Linked DNA regions of Drosophila melanogaster. The protein of the gene in region 1 interacts with the protein of each later gene in a pairwise test. Each region holds a gene or a part of one and is shown in the gene's direction. Other genes may lie near its edges.

The links.
Region 2: the proteins of CG6304 (region 1) and eIF4E7 interact in a two-hybrid assay, tested with the Drosophila melanogaster proteins (one large-scale study listed by BioGRID).

What each region holds. Positions count from the first base shown.
Region 1 is NT_033779.5:17,010,749-17,016,448, reverse strand, and holds CG6304 (uncharacterized protein), read left to right. Parts: upstream 1-1,748; 5' UTR 1,749-1,842; intron 1,843-3,314; exon of another isoform or gene 3,315-3,349; 5' UTR 3,350-3,513; coding exon 3,514-3,775; intron 3,776-3,836; coding exon 3,837-4,843; 3' UTR 4,844-4,973; downstream 4,974-5,700.
Region 2 is NC_004354.4:1,157,862-1,164,328, reverse strand, and holds eIF4E7 (eukaryotic translation initiation factor 4E7), read left to right. Parts: upstream 1-1,939; 5' UTR 1,940-2,043; intron 2,044-4,196; 5' UTR 4,197-4,223; coding exon 4,224-5,513; 3' UTR 5,514-5,730; downstream 5,731-6,467.

The sequences.
Region 1 (5,700 bases):
GAACAAATATTCACTTCACTATGCACTTGAAGAATAAGAGGCGAAGTTATGCATGCTAAATCAAGCGAAATCTTTCTTTAAATTTGTTTGTTAATACCAAAATGCAGACATACTAAAGTGCTGAAATCTAAATGCCTATCATGGTTTTTCAATCCTATCATTTGACTTGCCATTTGTAAATCACGGAATTGTATATTGAAGCCTTGCATATGTTTTGCACAGTGCTGCAATGTCTGGTTGACTTCATTGAGGTTGAGGGGCAGGTGATGTTGATGCCACGTCTCGGTTAACTCGTTGTTCCGTTGACCTGCCCCTGTTGAAATTGCCTGTACGGATAGTTTGTGGTCTAGTCTTGTAATTAAGTCGAAGTTTCCCGTTTTAATGCATACTACTTTTAACCGTGCTGCTGGCCTGGCTAAATGACAAATCGTTGCGGGCGAGAAACTTTAGGTGCTGCGTGTGCAGGGGATTCATAAAAAAAAGATGACCAAATCCTTTGATTTGTGTGCGTGCCAATGCCAAATTGCTTAATCTCCCTTCGCACGAACACTTGACCCAATTTTTAATCACTTTCCAAGCACACATGCTCTCTTTTTGTCCGTCCCGGCATAAATTTGTGTCTTAAAACTTTCCACCTGGCCAAGGCAAAAGTTTGGCTTGCACGTTTTAAGCTGCCCCTGCAGAGTAACCGTCCGAAACAAGCTTAAAAATTGTGAATAAACCCAAACTGGCATAAACCGCACTTATTCCCAACTCCAAATTCGAGATGGAATATTAAGGCGAATTATTTGCTCTTAATTTGAAACGAAAAAATGATTTTCAAGATTTTTTTAAGCTTTTTTTTAGATCAAACTAAAACAAATAATGATTAAAAGTATCTAGAAAAGTTTTTCTTATTTAACTTATAATAATTATAATTCTTATAACACTGTTAAAATCTTTCATTCTTCTAATTAGTTTATTAAAGTGTAATTATTTTTTTTGCAGACGACCATCTCTAGTAGCATTTCGGATTTCCGCAATATGTGCTACAAAATATTCTAAACACACATTTGTCCAGCTCGAAAGGGAAACAAGGAGGCCAGGCCAATTGTGTGTGAGCTCTGTTCTCGGACTTTTTTGCTGTGTGGGGTGGGGGCGCAAAAGTTTCTAACAATAATAAGCAAATGCCCAAAAGTGAGCAGTGGGATCCAGTTGTTTTTGTCTCCACTGCTACAATTGCCAGCACTAAAAGTCCCCTTCAAAATGTATATACACGTATCCCTCTACCGTTGTATTTGCTGCAAATACAATTAAATATGGCAAAAGTTGTGCGTACACACACGTCGGCCATTTTATTTAGATTGCAGGAGGGCTAAAACAGAGGCGGTAACAGGAACAGAAGCAACGACAACGACAACATTGAGGTCGTCGTCGTGGGGCCCTCAAAAGTATTTGGCTAACTGAAAGAAAATATTTAAAAAACAAGAAATACTGTGTAATATGCGATATTGCCACGAAAATGGGTAATTTATTTACAGGATATTCAAAATGTAAGGTCTAGTTAATGCCGAAATTTCATAGCTTGAAGTGTGTGTGTTAAATATTTATTTGTCTTCGATTTACCTTAAATAGTGTATTAAAAGCTTAAGGGTAAGTATTTAGAATATGCTTAGGTATAATTTGTGAGCTTATAAGGAAATTGCCAAGCACTTCATTCAAAGGAAATTAGTTACGAGTAGGCCCAGACAAATCCTTCAAAACGGTTTATGTTGAGAAATTTCTTTGCTCAAAGTCTGTGTGTTAAATATTTATCTTCGCATGCTACGAATTTGTCTTAAATAGTGCATTAAAAGCTTTATGGTGAGTATTTAGAATACGCTTAGTTGTACTGTATTGAAAAGTACAAAAATCGGATTCGTTTTGCAGTGCACGTGTGCGTTGCTTTTTCTGCTAACAAGGCCAACACGTGTTTTTGTGTTGTGAGGCTCGGTCCGCAGAAAGCACAGCAATTCTGTTAACAATTTTATTATTAAAATGATGTCAGTGCCTCGGTTCGCTTGCCGCCCTCTTCCTGTGGCTCGGCAATTGACCACAAATGCATTAGTGGTGCGGATGCCCCAACTTTCACCTACATACTTCCCAAGGCGAATTACACAAAAATTTGCAGAGCTCCATGCCATGCATAGATAAATAGGAGAATGTGTGGACGCCAATCTCTGTGGTAATCCCCAGATGACCTACAAGTTGTCGGACACTGTTGTATTTTCGGTATTTTTGTACGGCTTATTTTCGGTGGGCTAATTGATTTAAACAATTTATCATACTTTTATCCTTTTTTTTTGCTGCATTACTTAATTTTTTAATAACATGATGTTTAATGTAGCTCGCTAAAGGCGATAGATTTTACAAGAGAAATAAATTAATTAAATAGAATAGACTGAATGCAAGTGACACTTTTTTCTTCAAAGAGCTACATCACTTGTTATTTACCCCCTACACTCATCGAAGCTTGCTATATTTCCATTTTTATGCGATTTGCACCCTTGTCTGGATTTGCTCAGCTTTAGGCTATCGAAAACGCAAGTGGATAACTCCCTCCGCTCCTTTTAGCCCCGCCAAACAACCTGATTATATAGCCAACCGTTCACAGCTCCTGAGCAGTTATTACGTTTTACTTATTGCATTTTTCAGCTCTTTGCATTTTCGCTCAAGCTTGCAAAACGATACACGAGCGGGAATGGAAATGGAATAGAAATAGGATGGGATGGGATGGGTCGGGTTGGGTTGGTAACGAGGATTCAAGGAGCCCCAGCATGTGGCTCACATGACATCTGGCCAAGGGGGTGATCACTGCTGTTGCCGAGAGGGGGTAGGTGGGGGGTCCACCAAGGACGAACTCCTGCGGAGCTAAGCTCACTGCACTTGGCCATTGTTTGTTTGTTTTTACAACTCTGATTGAGGTGAAATTGCATATTTCTGTGCGCTTCTTTCATTTCATTTTATTTCTCCGTCTGCAGCTCCTCCTCACTATTTCTGTAATATTTTCAAACGTTTTATTGAATGTCGCTTACCGACAGCACTGTTTGCCATTCCTGGCTTTTCCTTTTGCCAGGTACCCATTTTTAGATTCATCTCCACATTTCCTCGTTCCATGCACCTATTTTACCAGTGTTTTCCCCGCCTGCATTGGCTTTGTGTTTATTGTGCGAATAAATGTCAACAATGGAGAAATGTACGTGGATTGCCGACCGATTTAGAATCTCCACCTTCTCGATCGGAATTCTTTTGGCGAGTTTATAAAGATTGCCAAGCACTTTAATCCAAAAAATAAATATCAAATAATCACATATCATTCAATTTGTAATAGGGTGAAACGTCTGAGAACTCAGAATCCAGTGGGCCTAGACAAATTGTTCCAAACACTTTATGTCGAGAAGGTCTAATCGTACTCATAAATATACAGGTACTGGTCTGAAACATTTATTACAAAAAATTCAAAAAACAAAAATATAGCGAAGAAGGATAAAGACCATGTACAACAATATTAAGGGCCTACACATAAATGAATACCAGAGGGAGAATGGAGATAATACCAGAAAGCTGGCGTGTGAAGGTACAGTGAAGCTAAACGCCAATGCCCAAGAATTTGTGCCACGTTACAAGAGGGAACAACCAGCAAAAGATGATGCTATAGTTGGTAACAGTAACATGAGCAACACCAATAACGACGACCAAAAACCAAAATCTAACCTTATGTTGCCGTGGAAAGGATTTCCGAATAAATCTCAAAAACGTAAAGTTCTGCAAATAGAGGTCGCAAGAACATTGCTTATATATTTTATCTCCTGTTTCAGCTTCTCGCAATGTGGACTACATAGTTCTACCGAGCACCAAAAGATTTAAAAAGCCCATTGGCCAACAACTCGTGGAAAATGTTTCCACTACGCCCTCAAAAGTCCATTTAAATGATCCTGTTCCAGCTGGAAATCGCATTGATCACGAGGAAAGGCGCCGCGAACACGATAGAAAAATCGCTGTGGAAGCCTTAAAGTTGGCCGAACAGCGTAGAATGAGGGATCCTGTCATTGCCCCCACGGAGGGCAATGAAAACTCAAAGAACGTGCCGCCAATTATAAATATCTCACGATCTCCAATAAAGTTCACGCCAAATGAAAGGATCAGAGTGGACCGTTTAAGGGCAGCGAAGAGAGAGCGTATCGAGCGTATCCTTCGCGAAATGACAAACAGCAAGCAGTCGCAAGTGAAGAAAGAGCAGCTCAAGGAGGAGAAGATTTGTTTTGATAATGCACCCAATGAATCTAATAAGCCTAATGAACCTGCTAAACCTATGCCTCAGCATCCGGAGAAGACAAATGAAGTGCCCATAGTTACCAAAAAGAGGTACATACCAACCACCAAGGAATGGGACGAGCGATGTCGTGCCAAACATTTGGCTAAGATGGAAGCTGAAAAGAAAAATCAGATGGGTGTTCAGGATGCGAACCCTTCGCAATCTGCTGTGCCACCAAAACCATTGGTGACCTCCAATGTGGTGAACATATCTCCGTCGGGAGTTATTCGTCTGTGCGATCGCTTTAGTCCACCTGCTAAACAATGCGATACGGAGAAGCGCAGGGGAAATCTCACACACTTCCGACCCCTTCAAAACTGGACAATCCGTCGAAATCCGCCGGTACCATTGAACAACCTGTGCAATAAAAATGGAAAGATCGTGCAGCGCTATAGCATCGACCAACTGCTGGTTTTGGAGCCTCAACCTGAAGAACTGAAAGTGCCTCAATTGGATAAGGCCCTGTTAGGCTTGGGATTTCTGTACGATTCATTTGAGGGCTCTCCATAAATGTATTCGAATTTAATCTGAACTTATTGATTAAAAAACATTTTATCATTTTCCAATCACTTCCCTTGAATGTCTGAAATAAAGAAAAGACTGCAATGCGTATTTCAAGTTTGCAAAGCTAACTTTTGGTAAAATCTGTAAGATTTCTACTTTTATTACTGATGGCTATTACTGCACAAACGCGTTGGCATTTTTCAGCCTTTTGCACTTTGACCGTCGTAATTGAGAACTGAAATTTGCCATGTTATTGGTGTTGCTGTCAACTGCAACGGTCAGGTGCAATAATTTTAATGCCATTATTCTGCTTATTATTATCTTGCCTACTGTGCGCAGCTCGCTGCCTGTGCGCATATATTAAATTTCACTGAAAATTTGTTTTAATTTCATTAAACGGGAGAGGGAGCAATTTACACATCAGTAAAGAGTCCGCCGGTGCACTGAAATAAATTTTCCAGGACGAATCCCCTGCGGGCTCATGTAACCGAGGCCGAAGCGCAAAAATATTGACATGTGGCTATGGCAACGATTGCTGCTGGGTTTTCGCGGGGGGGGGGGGAGGTCGTAGGTCATGGGAATGGCCGCGAAATGGGGTGATGCGTAAAGGAGGGCGAGGGGGTCCAGTGGCAGTATCATATAACGCACAGACATTGCCCTTGTCATTTTTGCAGTTGTTGTGGCTCGGCCAGCACTGCGCAAATAAAGCGGAAAATTGTGTTTTTTTTCCCGACTTGTTTTCTGCGTGTTCGAAATAAAAAAACAATGAGTAAAACACAAAAAGTAGAACCAATCAAATGCATTTCACTGGTCGTGCGTGCGTCTGTGCATGTGTTAAAATGACCTTTGGCTTTTATTGTCGC
Region 2 (6,467 bases), on another chromosome or scaffold:
AAACTTGGGTATACGTAGAAATAGTGAATTTCTACTTGTAATTTTTTCAGCTTAGGTTGAATGTGTCCCTTAGCTCAATAATTAGCAAACTTCTTTAGTGTTTTTGTTTATCTGAACACAGAACACAGTTTGGGGCTTTAGTGTTTTTCCAGTACGACTTTACAAGTTTCCATCGATAAGGTCACAGCTCCAAGTCGACGGATAAAGAAAACATTTCGCCACCAGTTTTGAACAGATGTCGAGGCCGCGGTGACTCTGGCTTTTGACGGTATGTTCCGAATCATTCAAAATTCGATATGTCGGCTAGCTACACACGCCTGTTCCGCGTTTTGTTCGTGATAATTTTCATCAAGTTACTCCTCCTTTTGGGACTCCTTTTGGACAGCTACGATGGTGCTGCCCGGCTTCAGAGGCGGTCGAATGTGGATATATTTGATGAACTACTCGTAGATCGGAGGCAAAGTAAGAAAAACTTCCAATTAGGAAAAGCTTTCGCTGGGGTCAGAGTGTATTAAAAGTGTGTCAATATCAGAATGTACATTTAAGGAGCCCACCTACCATTTTAGTGCCTTCTTGGGAGCAGCGATTGGAATGGATCCGCGAGGAAATGCATTCGTTTCCGCTGAAAGAGCTCCTGGCCAGAAAAAACAGACGATTGCCTTCAGTGAAGTGCGGCCCCGATATGATGAACATTGATTTTCATTGATAGCCCTCTGCCAGGCTATTGATGGCAATAGTCCCATCCACAGATCCCAAGTTCGTGGTATGTGTGAAGGCGAGGGATTTTCCAAAAACTGAGGCTTATTATATGCACCGCAAGTGCAAGTGCGTGTAACGCTGTATGCATGTATTTATGGCTTTTAAGCTGTGCCAAAGTTATTTAAATTACTGATATCTGGCTTCTTTGTGGGTTTATCATGTGATTATTTGGGCAAGCAATAAAAGAAAATGCTGTATTTTGGCACAATATTCTTCATGATTCCGTCTATGAGTTGCCTACAACAGCTGTTAAGTTTCCACGGTTGTCTGTTAAGTTGCCTGTCCCTCTGTTGCTCGATCGAGCAGGTCCTGGGAAATCCTTGTCGTTTGCTTCAGTCGGCCACGAACTGTTGGTCGGGTTGGAGGTGGACTCACCGACGCCACAACCGCCCTCTGATTGCCTTTTTGATGCATTGGGATGTTTGTATTTGATGTGTTGCTTTTTTGCGTAATGCAACTGCTAACGACTCTTTAAATATTTTACACGATTTAGCATTTCATAATGATAATACCCGCAATCCGCTTGCGGGGGGCATGCGTTTATGGTTCAATTTCAGTTTATGCATTCTCATAATGCTTGATGATTTCAGAATGCCGTGTTTGCATTTCAACTCCAAATGACTTTTTCAGAGCGATTCATTCGCTGGCAAAATGCAAAAATGCACATAGAATTTAATTTAATTTGCGCACACTCATGCACCATTTATCCACTTCTAATTAATTGCATTGCACAAGAACACAAAACGCAAAACATTTGAATGCGAATGTCTGAACGGACATGAACAAATATACAAATGTGAACAAAAACACGCTCAGAGCTAACTGAACTGAACTGAACAGGGCAAAAAGCGACACAAGATGAAAATATTCATTATTATTTGGCCAAATTGCGAATTAATGATATGAGCAAACAGGCAGGCCATAGTGTTGTTGGCATGCAAATTATGGCAGCGCGCAAAAACAAAAGCAATGCAATTTTTTAATTAAATGCTTTAGCTGTAATCCAGGAGCGCTTAGTGGAGTTCGGATTAGGCCATATACTCGCGAATCCGATCCCAGTGATGGGAAAAAATGCAGAATAGTACCGAAGTGGGACCGGACTTTTGTTACCAAAAGTCATTTTTCAGAGCAAAGTAAGTCTAGAAATATAAATCAGTTTTGGACGACACTTCGTTGTGAGAACAACCGGGTTTTAGTCAAATTTTATTTACAAAACCATTGCGATTTATTTGTTGATATATTTTGATTGACCTAAGCGGTATTCGGATATTCGCAGTGCGTTAGGTAAGTTGTGTAGACCCAATTCGTAGTGATTAATTATGGCATTAGAACTGTTCGTTGGGTTTCTCCTCCTTCGTCATCTTCGTTTACAAATAAGGTAGTGTGTTCCTTGTCGTATGTAGTATGTCTTGTCTGTCGGTCAGCTTAGATTTCATTGGCTGCCGCCGATTACTGGGAATCCCCGAAAGTATGCAAAAAGTTGGGCTAGAGCAATTGAGCGGATTGACGGTAGTGGGGATGGAGCTACCCCTGCTTAACCCCATCACCCGTCTAGTGCAACCGGCATACAAGAATACGAGGAACAAAGTTCAAACTAGCCAAACAAAACAAAACAGAACAGAGCTGAACTAAACTAAACAAAACAAAACAAAACAGAGCTAAACAAAACACACACAACGCAACAGGGAGCTGCTCATGTTTTTTGTTAATTAAAATTGGCATAGCAGCCGAGGGGAAAGGCAAGGACTGGGAACAACATTTTTGCATTTTCATCAGTTTTTCGAGGCAGCTAGCAGTCAGCAGCCGGCATTTGAACATTTCAACATTTCGGCATTTCAGCCAGCGACGATGGCTCACAGGTCATAGGTCACAGAAGGCGAGCACAGATGCCAATGTAGAGTAGTCCACCTTCCTTCAACTTCCTTCCCACTTCCAACGTTCAACTGAATGAGTGCCACTTCCTCGCTGTGTGCATATTTACCTTTAGAACATTTACTTTTTCAACAGACGACAACCGACCCGTTGAGGGCGAGTCCTCGATTTATGTGCTGCCAATAAATTTGCCCAACACTTTGGCCCCGTCTAATGCAATATTTACATCGCATCGGGCCAAATAAAAAATTGCATCGATAGGAACTGAGAAGGGCGAAACTGCTTTGCGGGAACTGAGAGAAATCCAAGGTGCCTTCTATTGTGGCTTTCGACTACTCCCATAAGTAAATTATTCATTGAAATGAATCTAGATCGCCAAAGTACAGTGACATAAAGATTCAAAAGCAGTTCATTACATGCTATAATCTAAACTACTGTCGCGATAAAATTTAGTTGATCTCTGTAATACTTTCGCTAAGTGCACCCGCACGTCTTGTAGTTTCTGTTTCTGTTTTGGCCCTGCTTTTCATTTTGATGTCATTTAAGTTAAAAGAGGAACATTTGGAAATGTCGGGTATGAGATCCCTAAACGGCTTTTAAGAAGGAAAACCTCCTGCAATGTGTTGCCTTTGTTGTTTCCCTAATTTGTATGGCAGAAGTGAAAGGAGATTCCCATATCTGTACAGTTCTTAGCCCATGCCAAGTGATACAAATGTACATATGAAGTCCATGGTTAAGGCACAGATATTCCATTAAAACAAAATCGGGTCAAATAAAATGGCCATAAACTGCTTGCCAAAAGCGTGAAAGCACAACACTCGCTCAAAGTCCAAGTCCGCTCAAACATTTGCCACGCCTTGGATTCTGTTTCTGATTCCAATTTCTGATTGATTTTTTCTCACTCATAAATTCGAGTCCTTTTGACCCCATTTTAACTTATGGCAGCCAGAGTCAAATCAAAGTTTGTTCTCCTGGTGGTTTACTTTTGTGATGCCATTACATAAAGATTCCTTCGTCCGCTGCATATCGTAAATGTAGAGAATTTTTAATGATTTTAAAAGATGCGTAAATACCAAGGCATCGTAATCTTTTCTATCGGAGATTTTGGCGTGTGAAAAACGCTTTTACTCGGTTATTTCCAAGGGGCAAGCACAACTTGACCCAGCTAATAAGAAATGCGTGCTGTGTTACCTTACACCCGTGTGTTTGGGGTTTTGCACCCACTCAAATCATTCAGTTCGGGGGGTGTGTAAATATTTGTTGCTAAAGTTGCCAACTTCTGCACACGTCCCTTGGTCTTGGTCAGTTTTTCCTTTCGTGCTTCCAAAGAAGAAATTTCCAGCTCACGTCTTAGAGAAAAGGGGCATGTTGGCTTGTTTGCCTCATTAGTCGGAAGTTCAGAAAGAGCGTTTGGCTTGGCTTTGTGGATTCATCATATATATAATTGTATAGGAAGCTACGAAAATGAAAGATCCCAAAAATCGCCATTATATTAACCCTTTTTTTTGTTAGATTTGTTTGTTTAAACATAGCGCTAACCTCGCCATTTCCGTATAACTCTACAGCCGTTGCTGACCTCGAACAAAGCCGCCATGCTTCCCAACAGCTTTTACAGGATGAGGGACTTTGCCAATCCGAGAACAATGTTTAAAAGCTGTGCGAACAACAATGAATATCCCACACAAGGTCCCCAAAAAGTGGAGTCACCAACTGATGTTACCCAGCCTGCTGCAGCTCCTCAATCCACTGAAGATACTCAACCAGAAAAGACCCAAGAACCGATGAATGATCCAAACAAAACGTCGCCATCAGAGCCCCAAAAACGTGGCAAGGGGAACCGGAAGGGCAAGAAGAATCAAAAGAATGCGCCACGCACTCCCAGTCAGACGAGCAAGAGCAGTCGAAGCAACAATCCGGGCAAAGATGGAAAGTCGACGGGAAATGATGACAATGAGAAGGGTAAAGGCCAAGGAAAACAGATGGTCCAGCAGAAAGAAAATAGCCCTGAACAGGAGCAGTCGACTAGTGCACAATATAGGAAGAATGTGCTCGACAAGGATCTGCAGGACAAGAAGCTAATCGAAAAGAATATGCAGGGAAAGATAATCACACAAGAAAATCTTTTAGGGCAGAAGGTCCTAATGCGGTTATCCGAGCAGAAGCTTTTGAGCTTGAGGCTCGAGCCCAGGATTAAACAGAACACATGTCCACCGGCCAAAAAAGAAGATGCGGTGGTCGCTTTTGACAATTCACTAGAATTTCTGTCACTGAACAATAAATGTGATGATGATCTGACCATCGCGGCGGAGAACGCCGAACTTTTGGAGGTCGAGGATCCTCAACATCCACTCAACAACTGCTGGACTCTGTGGTATCTAGAGAACGATCGAAATAAAAGTTGGGAAGAAATGCTGCACAAGGTTACAAGCTTCGATACCGTGGAGAAGTTTTGGAGCCTGATCACTCACATCAAGCCCCCATCCGAGCTTATGCTGGGCAGTGACTACTCCCTGTTCAAGAAGGGCATTCGACCCATGTGGGAGGATGAGGCCAATGTCAATGGAGGACGCTGGGTCATCAACTTGACCAAGAGCGCCAAGATGGCTCTGGACAGTTTCTGGATGGACGCCATGCTCTGTCTGATTGGAGAGGCCTGTAAGCACTCGGACGATCTTTGTGGCGTTGTGGTCAATATTCGCGGAAAGTCGAACAAGATCTCTATTTGGAACGCTGACGGGGGAAATCAGACTACAGTCCTTGAAATTGGACGCATTTTACGCAAGGTTCTACGCATGGACAACATATACGTGCTGGAGTATCAGTTGCACAAGGACTCCAAGGATAAACTGGGATCAACTGTGAAGAGAATATACACTGTATAGGTTCTCATCAGACAATTGCGAATCGAAACATTTTCAGTATTTTCGGTATTTTTTCACAAGAACTTGAAATGTCAAGCAGGTGTGATCAGCCATCGATCGATAGTTAGTTGGGTTCCAAATCTCTAGTCAAACCATCCGTACACGTACACGTTGTACATAAAAATTTGAATGTTGCTCCTATAGAGCGACGAAATAAATACATAACTATTTGGTCAAGAAGTTGTTTGTTTTAAAGTGTGAAATTGGAGAGTGTTGGAGAGAGACTGCGAAATGTTTCTAACTATGCACCTTCTTTACTAATTTAACCCGATTCCAAGAACATGCAACATGGTTTGTCTCGATTCCTGAGTTCCAATCGGTGTATTGGATGTTCTTTGTCTGCTCCACTGCTAACCATTGGGGCGGGCATTCAGAAGTTGGTTGCTAGCTTTTTGTTCGCTTTCACATCGGTCAGCGGACATGGGACATTTGGACATTGGACATTGGCCGTTGGACTTATTTGGCGCACGGCGTCACACAACTTGGCCGTGCTCAATTGTTTGATTTATTGGCATTTATTGGCAGTTGGCATTTTATTGTGACTGCTTTGGGTGACCACGTAAGGGGAGCCAATGATGTTGGAGTGGAGGCAGGTGCGTTCTCCTGGCACTGAATTCCTTTTGTTGCTGTTCTTGGCCACTTTTCCATTTGACGGGCTTTAATGTGCTTAATGTATTTTCTGTGCCTTGCTGTGACCATTTTCCTACCTTCTAATTTCTTCCTGAGCTTTTTTTAGCCACTCTTGCGAGGATTTACTATTTACCAAATATTCTGGTGACTCCACGAAAAAGGTCAAGGCCCAGGTGATTTGGCCCAAGTGCGCACCATAAAAGCGAGCTCACCTATATTTCGCCATTGATTTATGGCACTTAATTTCATTCCATTGTGCCAACGAGCCAGAGCCATTGATTAAAC